2 linked regions of the Stegostoma tigrinum genome follow. Each later gene encodes a partner of the first gene's protein in a complex. Links are inferred from orthologs where the notes say so. Each region holds a gene or a part of one and is shown in the gene's direction. Other genes may lie near its edges.

What was found. The genes of interacting proteins can lie anywhere in the genome.
Region 2: the proteins of gnat1 (region 1) and rhodopsin are in contact, whole or in part, in a cryo-EM structure (PDB 6OYA), measured with the Bos taurus proteins. The link is inferred for Stegostoma tigrinum from reciprocal best matches to the Homo sapiens genes GNAT1 and RHO. Residues at the interface, in NP_851365.1 of Bos taurus: Ala27, Arg28, Asp189, Leu190, Val312, Glu314, Tyr316, Asp333, Ala334, Asp337, Ile340, Lys341, Asn343, Leu344, Lys345, Asp346, Cys347, Gly348, Leu349, Phe350; in NP_001014890.1 of Bos taurus: Leu72, Arg135, Val138, Val139, Lys141, Ser144, Asn145, Phe146, Arg147, Val230, Ala233, Gln236, Gln237, Ser240, Thr242, Thr243, Lys245, Ala246, Glu249, Val250, Met253, Met257, Asn310, Lys311, Gln312.

What each region holds. Positions count from the first base shown.
Region 1 is NC_081364.1:14,868,377-14,875,453, forward strand, and holds the start of gnat1 (guanine nucleotide-binding protein G(t) subunit alpha-1), read left to right. Parts: upstream 1-4,075; 5' UTR 4,076-4,247; coding exon 4,248-4,353; intron 4,354-7,077. UniProt on the Homo sapiens protein: Functions as a signal transducer for the rod photoreceptor RHO. Required for normal RHO-mediated light perception by the retina.
Region 2 is NC_081364.1:67,532,567-67,540,268, forward strand, and holds the start of rhodopsin, read left to right. Parts: upstream 1-4,698; 5' UTR 4,699-4,853; coding exon 4,854-5,214; intron 5,215-7,702. UniProt on the Homo sapiens protein: Photoreceptor required for image-forming vision at low light intensity. Required for photoreceptor cell viability after birth.

The sequences.
Region 1 (7,077 bases):
CTCTTGAGGAAGTCAATTCGAAAGAAACACAGTTAGGCAGACATCAGCAGGTTGCGCTACCCCTTTCATCTACCCTACATTCAAAGCTACAGTCCCATAATATAATAATTTCATCCAGCAAAATATGATCCTAAGACAAAATAACCTTATAAATGCCCCAAGTTTGACAAAACTTTAAAATATAATTAATCCCTTATAATCATTAACCATATGCTTCTTGCCGTTTGCCACTATGGTTATTCCTCAACACTTAAAATTAATGAAGAGCAATTGAGAAAATTTTTTGCTTTTTAATATTGAGCTAAAACATATTTACTGGTCTATCTTCATAAAGAACGCCGCCACATCCAACAAATCCAGGCAGTGGTAGAACTTCCACATGTCACTTATGCGCAACAGTTAGGAAGTCAGAACCAGATAGCAAGCGTGCTAACTCAGTTTTGAAATACATTATATGCAAATATATTAAAAACATTTGAATAAAACCGGGAGAAACTCAGCAGGTCTGGCAGCATTTGTGGTATGAGAAACGGAATTAATATATGATGCCAACAGGACTCGGATCCAGAACTGAAGGGGGTAGAGGGGTAAAGAAATGGTGGGATTTGTGCTGTAGAAAGATGAGGGAGGAATAGGAGTGGACCTGATGATACAGGTGCTTCAGTGCCAAAGGCAAAGGGACTGTCAAAGGCAGTAGAGAATAGATAATAGTGAAGATTAGTTGTTAATGGCAGGCATTAGTTGCAGAAAATAGTTTTTCTGCGGCAAAGTGGGTGGAGGACATAATCAGAAGGGAAGATAGAGCTCATGGTCTGCAGAATGTTATGAAAGTTTAAAATGGAAATTCAATGGAGTAGGATAGAACTTCGTTAAAGTCAGCAATCCTGAGAGAGAAGTGGCAGTAAATTTAAAAAACAAAAAAAACAGCGGATGCTGTAAATCAAGAACAAAAGCAAAGTTGCTGGAAAAGCTCAGCAGGTCTGGCAGCATCTGTGAAGGAAAAATAGAGTTAATGTTTCAGGTCCGTTGGATCTTCCTCAGAACTTCTGTTAACGTTAACTCTGCTTTTTCTTTCGCAGATGCTGCCAGAGCTTTCCAGCAACTTTGCTTTAGAGGCAGTAAATTAAACTAGTCATTTGTTTGAATGTTTAGTTCAATACAAAATCATGCACAGAAAGCAAATTAAAATGAGGGAATTGAAAACAAACCATATGAAGATTCAAATAAGATCAAGTACAGGCCAGTCGGCCCTTCGATTCTGTTCTATCGTTCACTAAGATCTTAGCTGATTTGATTTCAACCTTAACTCTACATTCCTGCATATCCCTGTTTGATAGCATTTCCTCCTCTTTGTAATCAAGAATCTATCTCCTTCTGCCTTAAAAGTATTTAAATATTCTGCATCTATTGCCTCTTGAGGAAGGAAATTCGAAAGAAACACAACCATCTGGCAGAAAAACATTTCTCGCAAATGGGTGACCCTCAATTTCTAAACCATGGCCCTAAGTTTTAGATTCTCTCACAGGATAAAACATCCTTTTCACCTCTACCTCATCAAGACCTCCTGGATATCACATGCTTCAATTAAGTCATCTCTGATTATCCTAAACTCCAGAGAACACAGGACCAGCCTGTCTAGTCTTTCCTCATGAGGCCACTCCAGGAATAGTCCAGTTAACAAAGGATTTGTTTTCAAAACTTCAAAATTTTAACTTTTAAAATTCTCCAACAATAATCAAAATCTGAATAAATAAGGCTTTATGTTTGTCAGTGCATATTTTCCAGGCCAGAGAGATTGTTGTCAGGAATTAATCCTCAAGGCGCCATTAAAATTTGTCTGTGTGTAGTTTGCACATTCTCCCCGTGTCTGTGCGTGTTTCCTTCAGGTGCTCCAGTTACCACCCACAGCCCAAAGATGTGCAGGTTAGGTGAGTTGCCCATGGTAAATGCAGGCTTATGGGGATAGGGAGAAGATCTGGGTCTGAGTGGGATGATCTTCGGATGGTTGGTGCAGACTCGGTGGGACAAATGGCTTCTTTCCGCACTGTGGGGATTCTATTCTATGGTCCTATAAAATTTGCTTACAACTGAGTTGAAAGTCTTCATTTTCCAGGCATATTTAAAGCATATTTGATGTGTAAGTATCCTACTTGCTCACACTTGGTGTGTTTGAAAGTCTGGTCTTTGAGCAAGAGTCACTATAGTGAAACATGTCCTGAATTTCCACATTAAACAGCACATGTATGAGTGCCAGCTGTTGCAGAATGATGTTCCGTAGCAATGATGACTGCTGAAAACAGTATCCAGGCCTACAGCTTTGGAGTGAGAGTATCACCAGTTAGTTAGTCTTTGACTTGACATTGCATGAAATAATGATTAAACAGGAAGATATTGGCATGGTATGCCATTCCTGTTACCTATTTAGCATTTATGCATATACCTTCCAGTATTGGTCATTAAACATCAATGAGGAACAGGGTCCCTGGCTTATTCTTTCTTCTCAGGCTCAAAGTTGTTCAATTTCTGTCCTATACCTGCCCCTCCAGTTACACAAGGCTGACTCAGAACAGATCAAAATTATCTTATCCGCTTCTCTAATGAAAAACTGCAACAGTAAATTAGACTAAGAACTACTCGCTTATCTACAGATGCACAAAGCAGCCAAAGCACATGCCTTTGTCTGTCCCGTTAGTTTCTTTTCATACATGTTTTGCTAATGCTGACACTTTCCCAAAGGATAGAAAATCAAAACACATGATGTGCGTGAAGTAGACTAAGTATCAATTGGATACCCACTAAACGTGTCAGAGAAAGTGATGACTTGTCAATTTAATTGTAAGTGATTTTTAATAGAATCTTACATCTCAAACAACCTCTCTGGCCCTGAAATCTAAATTTTACAAACATAGAGCCTCATTCCTTCCAATTTTAATTATGAGTGAGATTTTTGGGAAACATTTTGTCCTAGCCAGAATCTGAGGTTAATAACTTGAGGCAGCCTCTCCACATAAAGAATGGCCATCTAGGAATCTTTCTCACTGTAACCAACCACAGGCATGTCCGAATCATTTGCAGGTTGACAATCTACCTGCATGGCCATGGTATCAATGAAGATTCAATGTCCATCAGATCCCAGAGAGGACTTAAAACTGGAACAGAGGTAGGTGTACAGCTCAAAGTATCACAAAATCCAAACACCAGCATTATTGCAAGTTTCTCAGATATTTGTTTATGTCAATTCTAAGCTTTCTTGACAATTACTTCTCGCTGCAGTATCATGAAGATCACTAGCTAGTCAAGGCTTCAACTCAGCTTTCTTTCCTTTGATGGGATTGAGGTCAAGCAGACTTGACAAGTTGTCTTATAAAACCTGTAATCACATCAGAGAGTCTTAAACGTACTTAGCGTGAATATGACCATCAGATCTCTGAAGATAAGAGAAGGAGCTTGATATTGATCTGCTTGATCTGCCAACAAGAGGAAAGAAAGATAAAAATGAAAGTTTCTTTCGAAATAGAGCAACAAAACAATGAGATAATGGCAAATTTAAGCAGAGTTTTGAGCAAACATAAAATTGAAACATTATCGAGGAAAATACCTGATTTGGAAAACTTACTTTCCTCAACGATACAGTTCGAACTCCACATCATAAGATAACAACAGTAATGGAACCTCATTTTAACATGAAGGACAGCTTTCCATACTGGTTTCCATGTTGCATACTGAGTACTGCTCGCAATTAAAGGGAAAGATCTCCCACATACTTAATGGTCAGCTCTGACACCCCTATGTGCATGGCATGGTAGATATAAACACACACACACACACACACACACACACACACACACACACACACACACACACATTCAGTCCAGACGTAGGCATTTTTGCCTTTAGCAACTGCATGAAGATTTAAGGATTTATCTTTGAATTGGACCACAGGATCAGCTGACAGCAGCAAGTCATTAATTCTGTTTTACACACCTTCCTCTATTCTATCCTTGTCCTTGCCTCTGATTGGAATACAGGTCTCACATGGCACATCCCAATTCCAAAATCCTTCTAAGAAATGCTTAATGCCAGATTTAGTGTTCAGTCCAGAGAGTGATCAACTAATGCCCACACAGGTCCCTAGCTGGCGACCCTGAACTCAACGATAGAGACAAGGTCAGGGCAGTCTCTCCCACAGTGTAAGCCTGGCCGTACTGTCTTCTGGGCAGCAGTGGCATTTCCAAACTCTCTCAACCATGGGAGCAGGAGCCAGCGCAGAAGAGAAGCACTCAAGGGACCTGGAAAAGAAGCTGAGAGAAGATGCCGAAAAAGATGCAAGAACAGTCAAACTCCTACTGCTGGGTAAGTACCCGTTGAATCACTTAGAAACTGGAGGCTTTGTAATGTTTAAACTCTCAGTCAACAAAAGGTTGCATTCGAGGTCAGACTTCAAACCCACCAAAAGTTACAAATAGATGAAGCTGCATCTGTTAAGTATTTGAGCTTATGTACCTGTTTGCCAACTGCGGTAATAGGTTACTGTTTCCTGTGTATGGGGGCTTTTCTATGGAAGTTAATTAGAAAATGATGAAAACTGTGCCAAGGCAGGAATCATTTATCTTACAATTAAGGATTCATAGAATGCATACAGTGTGGAAGCACACCATTTGGCCCAAGTCCATACTAACCCTCCAAAAAGCATGTCACCCGGACTATCCCCATTCATTATCCCTGTAACCCTGTATTTCCTATGGCGAATCCACCTAACCAGCACATCCTTAGACTGTATGAGGAAACTGGAACCTATGGAGGAAACCCGGAGAACATGTAAACTCCTCACAGACAGTTGCCAAAGAATGGAATCAAACGCAGGTCCCTGGCATTTTGAGGCAGCAGTGTTGACCACTGAGCCACCGTGCTAATTCCTTTTAGCCAGTGAAAAGTTTAACAAAACATAAGTAGTAATAAAGAAAGAAAGTATAGTTGGAATCATTCCTTATAAACGATGTTCCTTTGTGCCACTGTGTCACTTAACGTCATTCTTTATGAGGTGCCACTCATTTATTTGCCACTTTTCCCATAAAAAGCATTCCATAGCTGGAATTTGTTCTTTCTATTACATCATGAAAGATTGAGCAGTGGTCCTTGTAATTAATTACATCAAAAGTTTAAATTCAGTTAAAATATTCAAGAAAGGTCCAATAAAATATACATACGTTACTGTGATTAGAACCTAATTGTAGAGTGATTGCATGTTAAATGCACAACACCATGAGAGAATCAGATTTAGATTTAGATTTCGACTTTATTCTCACGCGTCCTCAAGTACTGAAGCGCAGGAGTACTGTGAAAAGCTTTCAATGTCGCCACACACTGTGCCATCTTAGGCACCAATACCTAGGTACAAAAACTTAGTTAAAAGCAAAACATTATAGCCACTCTTATTACAACGTAAGGAAAAAGAGAAATAAGGTTAAAAGTTAAACATTTACACTCCTGATTTACAGAACCAGTCTTTGCATTCAGAAATTATTGTGCTCTCATCATTTTTCAGGTGACATGTTTGCAGGACACATAGAAACATAGAATGAAAATAGAGAAAAATAGTGGTGGGCCATTTAGCCCTTTGAGCCTGCTCTGTTATTCATTATGACTGTCCAACTCATTAGCATTTGGAAAACTTTGAAATTCTTACACTAAATCTTTCATGAGTTCTACATTTGTCTTGAAAAATGTTCAGAAGCAACACTATTTGAATGATGCTTGGAGATATGAACACTGAAAAAGACAGTAAGGAAAAGCTATTCCACCCAATGTAATCAATTACAATGCTACTCTGTCCTTTATCCCCACTATATTGCATGGCGGTTTCCTGACCAGTTACCAATGCTGACTATGATTATCTGAAGAAGATGACCCATGAACTTACTGTGCACAATATAGAGTCATACTCAAAGTGAATGACAACAATGAGCTAATTCATGAGCAGCGCACTCATTTTTTACCTTATGGCATTATATGTAGCTACAATTACCTTACTTTATGCTACTCATAATACCTGTCTCAAATTTACTTTGTAACCTCTTTGGAACATTTCTTTCAATTTTATCACGCCACAAACTCACAAAAAAAGCTCATGTACTCCCTGATACAATTTAATGTAACATCCCGGGTTTAACTTGTCAGTTCTTCTCGGTATCTCAAATTTACTTATTATCCCTAACCATCAACCAACATCACCAAACCAGACTATCATTTCATTTATCACACTGCTATATGAAGGAGTTTGCCGTGGTTGGTTTTGTGCTTCCTCTATCGCAACAGTCAATGTCCTCCAAAAGTAGAAACTGAGAATGTGGACAATACACAGTAGGTCACGCAAAGAGTTGATATTTGCAGTGTGTGACCTTTCATCAGGACAGGAAGGAAACAGGCTTGAAATGTCAACTCTGTTTCTCTGCACAAATGCTGCGTGACCAGTTGAGTATTTTCAATATTTCCTTTCTTTTATTTTGGATTTGGTTCATCAGCATTTTGAACACTCAGAAGTACTTCATTGGTAATAAAGAGTTTTGGGAAAGTGGAGGTTGCGAAATGTGCTAATGTGAAAGCAGGTCTTTCATTTTTATTCCTTCTGCATTATATTTTGTTTACCTCATTGAACCAACATCTGATGATAAAGAACTATGGATGCTGGAAATTTGAAACAAAAATGGGAATTGCTGGAGAAACTCAGCATGCCTGGCAGCATCTATGGAGAGAAAAAATAGGGTTAACTTTAGAGTCCAGTGACCCTTCCTCAGAGACCCTGAGATTTCTTATTGCAATTATACAGTGCCTTGGCGAAATATTCACACCTGGAATATTGTGGGCAGTTTTGAGCTCTGAAGAAGATTGTCACCATAGAGGGAGTGCAGCCAAAGTTTACCAGACAAATTCCTGGGATTGGCATTCGAGGAAAGATTGAGTTGTCTAGGGTTATATTTGCTGAAGTTCATAAGAATGAGGGGGATCTCATGGAGAAATTCTAACTGGACTAGACAGGGTAGGTGCAGGGAGGATGTTCCTGGATGACGAGGAAGTTCA
Region 2 (7,702 bases), about 53 Mb from region 1:
ACTCACACTCTTCCTCATTGGGATTGATTGCCATTTCGCACATGCACACTGTTACTCATTTGTATTGATCGCCATTTTGCACACTCACATTGTTCCTCACTGAGATTGAAATCTATTTTTCATGCTGGCACTGTTCCTCGTTGAGATTCATCACCATTTCTCTCACTCATACCATTTCTCACTGAAATTGACACCTATTTCTCACACTCACAATGTTTCTGACTGAGATTGACACCAATTTCTCATACTCATGCTGTTCCACACTGAGATCGACACCCACGAGAATTCCTAGAAGCATGGCATCCCAACTGGAACTCCATCAACAAACACATTGATTTGGAGCCAATCTACCATTCCCTGAGAAAAAGAACAGGAAGTGACATCACCAACGCAGGAAATGACATCACCAACCCAAGGAAACCTAAACAGAGAAATAGAAAGCGGGACATAACACCAGCGCCTCATCGGAGGCTCACTGATGATGTTACCCAGAATGGTGACGAAACGTCTGAAAACGAACCTTCCAGCTCAGCGAGCAAACTCAATCCAGAACCTCAGCCTGAGCTACAAATCTTCTCAAAACTCGATTGATACCTATTTCTTACTCTCGCACTGTTCCTCACTGAGCTCGGTACTTATTTCTCACTTTCACACCATTCCTCACTGAGATCGATACCTATTTCTCACACCCACACTGTTCCTCACTGAAATCAATCCCCAATTCCCACACTCACGCAGTTCCTCAGAAAGATTCATCACTATTCTTTAAAACCTACACTGTTCCTCAGAGAATGACTTCCAATTCCCAACCTCACACAATTTCTCATGGAACATCACTCCAATAGCTCAAATTCACACTGATCCTCATTGCGATTGTAACATGATCAACAATCTGGACTGGATTCCCTGGTTAGGTCTGTGAATCTCGATCCAATCAGGGAACCTTGACAGATATAATAGAGTTGAGTGTCAGGAATATTGACACTGAGGTGCTTGAATTTGAATGGCACTGTACCATAGGCATGGACAGTTCACGTCGACTGATGGAAACCGAAAGAACTAGGGATGCTGTAAATTCGAAGCAAAACAGAAATTAATCAATTCTGAGGAAGGGTCACTTGACCTAAAATGTTAACTCTGATTTCTCCCCACAGACACTGCCAGAGCTCATAGGGAGTCATGACAGTTTCTCACAGAGATTCACTCCCATTGCTCATATTCACACTGTTCCTCACAGAGATTCACTCTCATTCCTCAAACCACACTGTTGCTCTCAGAGATGTCCCTCTGGATCTGATAGATATTTACCTAACAATGGGAATCACTCCCACTTACTTCAAATAATCAGCAACTGGTAGCTCTCAAAGATTTAACAAAGTGTGGAGCTGGATGAACACAGCAGGCCAAGCAGCATCTTAGGAGCACAAAAGCTGACATTTCAGGCCTAGACCCATCATCAGAGAGCTCTCTGATTTTGTGGTCCTGAGATGCTGCTTGGCCTGCTGTGTTCATCCAGCCCCACACTTTTTTATCTTGGATTCTCCAGCATCTGCAGTTCCCATTATCTCTGTTCTCAAAGATTTGTCTTGATAATTATGGGCTCTATTTACATCAATAGGACAGTGACACCATTATTACAATCAGCTCTGCTAAAATTCAGCAGAGGACAAAGGGTTTAATTTGGAAGAGGAAAATAGAATAAAGACAGTAAGCTTGCAAAGAATATTAAAAAATTTACTGCAAAAGCTTCTATTGATTAGTGAAAAAAAAACTGGTGAAGACAAACGTAGATCTCTGACAGAGATAATAGAAACTGCAGATGCTGGAGAATATGAGAATACAAGGTGTGGAGCTGGACGAACACAGCAGGCCAAGCAGCATCAGAGGAGCAGGAAGGCTTGGCTTTTCGGGTTGGGACCTTTCTTCTGAAATACTTTGGATCTGTCTTCACTAATGAGGACACAAATAACCTTCAGGAAAAGCTAGAGGGCAGAGGGTCAAGCATGAAGGAACTGAAGGACATTTTCTTTAGTCAGGAAATGGTATTGGGGAAAATGATGGGATTAAAACCCAATAACTCCCCAGGGAGGCCTGCAGCTCTGTATCCCAGAGCATGTAAGGAAGTAGCCCTAGAAATATTGGTAATTATTTTCCAACATTCTATTGACTCTGGAAGAGTTCCAATGGACTGGAGAGTAGCTAATGTGACACACTTTTTAAAAAAGGAGGGAGAGGAAGTAGGGAATTATAGGCCAGTTATCCTGACATCAGTGATGGGGAAATTGCTGAAGTCAATTATTAAGTATTAATTTAGCATTTGGAAAGTGGTGGCAGGATTGGTCCAAGGATTTGCTAAAGGGAATCTCCAGTCCATTGGAACTCTTTCAGAGTCTACAGAATGCTGGAAATCATGCTTGAAAAATCTTCTGGAAGACTTTGAGGATGTGACCAGTAGAGTGGACAAGAATGAATCAGTGGATGTTGTATATCTAGACTTTCAAAAGGCTTTTGACAAGGTTCAATGCAAGAGATTAGTAAGGAAAACTAAAGCTCAAGGTATCAGAGGTAGTGTATTGAAGTGGATAGAGAACTGGCTGGCAGGAAGCAGAGAGTTAGAATAAATGGGCCCTTTTCAGAGTGATCGGCAGTGATGAACGGGTGCTGCAGAGTTCTGTGCTGGGTCCTCAGCTGTTCATAATATATGTTCCTGATTTGGACAAAGGAATTGAATGCTATATCTCCAACTTTTCAGATGATACTAAGCTGGGTGTCCGTGTCTGCTGTGAGGAGGGTGCTAGGAGGCTGCAAGGTGACTTGGGCAGACAAACTGAGTGGCAAATGCCATATAATGGGGATAAATGTGAGGTTATCCACTTTGGTCACAAAAACAGGAAGGCAGATTATTATCTGAATGGTGGCAGTTCAGGAAAAGGTGAGGTGCAATGAGACCAGGGTGTCATGGAGGAACAGTCACTGAAGGTTGGTGTATTGGTGCAGCAGGCAATGAGAAAAGCTAATAGCAGCTGGCCCTCAGACCAAGAGGATTTGAGTTCGGAGTAAGGATGTTTTACTGCAGTTATACTGGGCCTTGGTGAGGGCACACCTTGAGTACCATGTGCAGTTTTAGTCTGTTAGTCTGAGGAAGTACATTCTTGCTATTTAGGGAATCCTGCGAAGATTCGTCAGACTGGTTTCAGGATGGCAGGGCTGATATATGAGGAAAGACTGGATCAACTGGACTTGTTATTTCTGGAATTTAGAAGAATGGGATTTGGGGGTGTGGTTTTTAGAAACATCAAATCCTGATGAGAATGGACAAGCTAGATATGGGAGGAATGTTCCTGATGTTGGGGAAGTCCAGAACTAGGTGTCACAATGTACGAATAAGGTGTAAGCCATTCAGGACTGAGATGAGGAAGAATTTCTTCACTCAGAGTTGTGAACCTGTGGAATTCTCTCCCACAGGAAGCTGTTGGGGCCAGTTCATTAGATATATTCAGAAGGGAGCTGGATGTGACCCTTGCGGCTAAGTGGATCAAGGGGTATGGAGAGAAAGTAAGAGTGGAATACTGAGAGTGCATAATCAGCTATGATCATATTGAATGGTGGTGTAAATTCAAGGGGACCACGTGGCCTATTCCTGCACCTAGTTTCTAAGTTTCAATGTTTCTGTGTAAAATGCAAGCACAGTCTCTTCATACAGGTTATAGTACTCGCTATTATATGTGTTCTAGCCTGTAAAATAACACAAATCCAGATTCTGATATTCCAACAGTTCCATTCAACACAATAGACACCAGCACAATACCCTTACATTCACCAAAAGAACTGCGGATGCTGTAAAACAGACACAAAAACAAAGTTGCTGGAAAAGCTCAGCAGGTCTGTCAGCATCTGTAAAGAGGACTCAAAGTTAATGTTTTGGACCTGGTAACCCTTCCCCAGAATTGATGGGAGCTAGGAAAATGTTGGTTTGCATGCAGAAGTCAGGGTGGGGGTAGGGGGTAAGGAGTAAAAAATAGGCAGAAGAAAGAGCTCAAAGAGAGAGAAGAACAGTTGGACAAAGCAGTTGAAAATGATCTGGCTAGTGGGGTGAATAGCTGTTAAGAGAGGCTGCTAGTGGCTAACAACAGGTAGTGTGCAATGGCAAGCTATGTGATAATAAGACCTGGGTATGTGGGGTAGGGCCTAGGACGTGGGAGAATATAGGCTCTAAAATTATTTAGCTCGATATTGAGTCCGGACGGCTGCAGGGTCCTCAAGCAGTAAACCAGTTGTTGTTTTTCCAGCTTGTGTTGAGCTTCACTGGAACACTGCAGTAAGCCAGAGACAGAGATATTGGCCAGGGAACAGGGTGATGTGTTAAAGGAGCAGGGAACTGCCAGCATACACATGAAGCTCATCTCCATGTGTATGCTGGCCCTCCCAGATGGAATGACGTGAAGATACAGGCATAATTAGCAAATTTGCTCACCGACACAGACCTGTATCAACTTTGTGTTTTTATTTCTTCCATGTTTGACAACTTCTGAGCAGGCTGTCAGGGCAAAGGCCTCACTGCCCAGTGCAGCAGTGTGAGTGTTAATGGCTCAATGATACCGTCTCAGCTCCTGCCTGGATTATTATTCTTTTGCCGTGGCTTAAATTGCTTTCTGCTGACAGGCAGGGTCAGAGTAATCCAAGGCTTTATAAGGGGGCTCAGAGACCTGGAGTGGGGGGGGTTTGATTGTGGCCTGTCATTGCTCAAGTCAGTCAGTTCCTGTGCTGGTTCGGGTCAGGTTCAGAGAGGATCACCATCGAGGGAAAGTAAGGAGAAAGTTTGCTTCGACTGAGCTGCACAACAAGCTGCAACCATGAATGGCACCGAAGGAGAGAACTTCTATATACCCATGTCCAACAAGACAGGTGTGGTTAGGAGCCCATTCGAATACCCGCAGTACTACCTGGCTGAGCCTTGGAAATTCTCCGTGCTGGCAGCCTACATGTTCTTCCTGATTATAACAGGGTTCCCCATCAATTTCCTCACCCTGTACGTCACCATCCAGCACAAGAAACTTCGGCAGCCTCTTAACTACATCCTCCTCAACCTGGCTGTTTCTGATCTCTTCATGGTCTTTGGTGGATTCACTACCACCACCATCACCTCAATGAATGGCTATTTCATCTTTGGACCAACTGGTTGTAACTTTGAAGGCTTCTTCGCCACACTTGGAGGTAAGATCCCGATGTGTTTTCATCCACTGGTTCATTGCTTGGTCCAATTTCAGGGATCAGGAGACATGAGTTCATTGCCAGTTCAAGCCCTTGTTTGCTCAGAAGCTGTATGTGGGGAAAATTCAATGGGATATTCCGCAGATAGATATTAATGAGGCTTTAAGTTAATTTATCTACAGCGGATGCGATAAAGTGTAAGAATTACATGTGTGACTTGATAAACCGCTTGCATTGCTTAGTGCAAACTTTGCTCAACGAGCAAAGTTAAAAGTTTGGAGCAAGAATATCGGGTTATAGATGTTATAATCAGATAAGCTAAGATACATTTCCTAGCTGTCTGGATGGGACTTCCGGAGAGTTCCAGAATTGTAATGCTGCAGAAGGATGCAGTCCAGACTATCCTGTTTGCAATGGTTCTATTAGCTCATGCCAGTCTCCTGTCTTATCCCCCTATCCCAGCCCCCCATTTCTAACAATTGCTGTCTTGAATGCCTCAGTAGAACCTGCCTCTACCATATTTCTAGGCAGTGCATTCCAGACCCTAACTAGTCACAATGTGGAAAAGATTTTTCTCACTTCCTCCTTGCTTTGCCCGTAGTGTTCAGTGGCGTGTGGGTTATAGGGGGATGGGTCAGGGTGGGTTGCTCCAAGGGGAGGTGTGGACTTGTTGGGCCGCAGGGCCTGTTTCCACACTGTAGGGAATCTAATCTAATCTAATCTAATCACTTTAAACCTATGCCCTGTCATTGTTCTTCCTTTTAAGAGTGTTTTGAACCCAGCCCTTCTGGTCCAGAGGCGCTGAAACTACTACCGTGCTGCAGGTCACTTAAAATGAGTCCCGTTAACATTTAGCAGCAAATGGGAGCAAGTCAGATTGCCTTCATACAGGGACAGTGAATTCTAGTGACGTTTGACAGAATATGATAACCCCTACACTAAAGGGACAAAATGATGCATCATGTTGTGCCATGTCTGATCCTGACTGCCTATTAAGGCCAAAGTCCCTGGGTATCAACAAGGGTAAAACGATAGAAGTTGGCTCAAGTTTCAATCCTCTAATCCTGGCAAAGAGAAAACTCAGTATAGTCTTCACATGGAAAAGGGAATAGTGAAGGGATCATTGGAACACGGTTTAAGCTGAGGGAATCTAGACAGGGTAAATGTGGAGGAATGATAATCCCAGAGTGGGGAGTCCAGTAAGGGGGGTCAGAGTTTAAGAATAGAGGGTAGGACATTTGGGAATAAGATGAGGAGAAATTTCTTCACCCAGACGGTGTAATTCTCTGCCACAGAAAGTAGTTGAAGTCACAACATTAATTTTTTTCAAGACGGAGTTAGAAATATTTCCTGGGGCTAAAGGAGTAATGCTGCAGAAGGAGGTGAGAAAGCAGGGAACAAGGGACCGAATGATTAAGTGTGATCATATTGAGCAGTCTCAAAGGGCAGATGACCTACTCCTGTTCATTTTCTCCATGTTCTATGTCCTCCTCTGCCTTTAATACTCTGACATGGCATTGGCTGTCCAGTAGAAAAAAACATTTAACGCAAAAATCTAGAGTGAAGAGAAATGGAGAGTTTGGAAACCAATAAAAGGAGGATAAGAAACAATGTTCTCACAGCAACCAAAGGATAGAAGAAATGGGGGTCACCATCAGAAGCAGAATATCAAGAACAGCAGTTGTGCAAACTAACTCTCAGGAGCAGAAATGGGTAACATGAAAACATCTGTTTGCTGAGCGATTCCAGCGATATTTGAGAACGGAAAATGACAAGACAACCAGAAAAACAATGTTAAAAGCTTGGAGAGAGAACAATGTGTGAATGAATATGAGCTTATCCCATTTCCATCCTGAAGATGAGTATATTTGCCTCAAAAGGATCAAGGAGAATCTTACAAATTTAAAACAGTTACACTGGAAATGCTTGGGTAACTGATGAACAAGAAAAGGAACAAGCATGGACAGGATATTTTGAAAGTGTCACTTTGGCTATGAAGATTTTCACTCATTTCTCCTAATGTGGATCATGTAATTTTGGAGACCTTGGGGAAGTTCCTGTGACAGTAAACGTGGTTCAACTAAATGATTGCAAAATTGGACAGGCTTTAAACAAGGGGTGAAATAAATCATGAAAACATTTAAAGGAACCTGGAAAAACTCCTGCTGAGCAGCAAATTCCAATTAGCATTCTGTGTACATGGTGGGACATGTAAGTAGTGCAAATTGTGATTCAGCGATAAGGCAGGGAGTAAATAATAGTGTAAATCATGCTTGGTGTAAGAAGGTGAATGTGAAGCCTAGTGTAAGTGGGAAACAATGTTAATTAGATGTGGCATTGATTGAAGTGGGTACAGAGTAAATAACTTGCAAATTAAATTTGCTCAAAATGTAATTTCATACAGTCCAAATCACCTTCAGGGGATGTAAAATATGGTGGGAATTGAATTTGATGACCATCAAATTTGATGTAAACTTCATGTGGTGTAAAG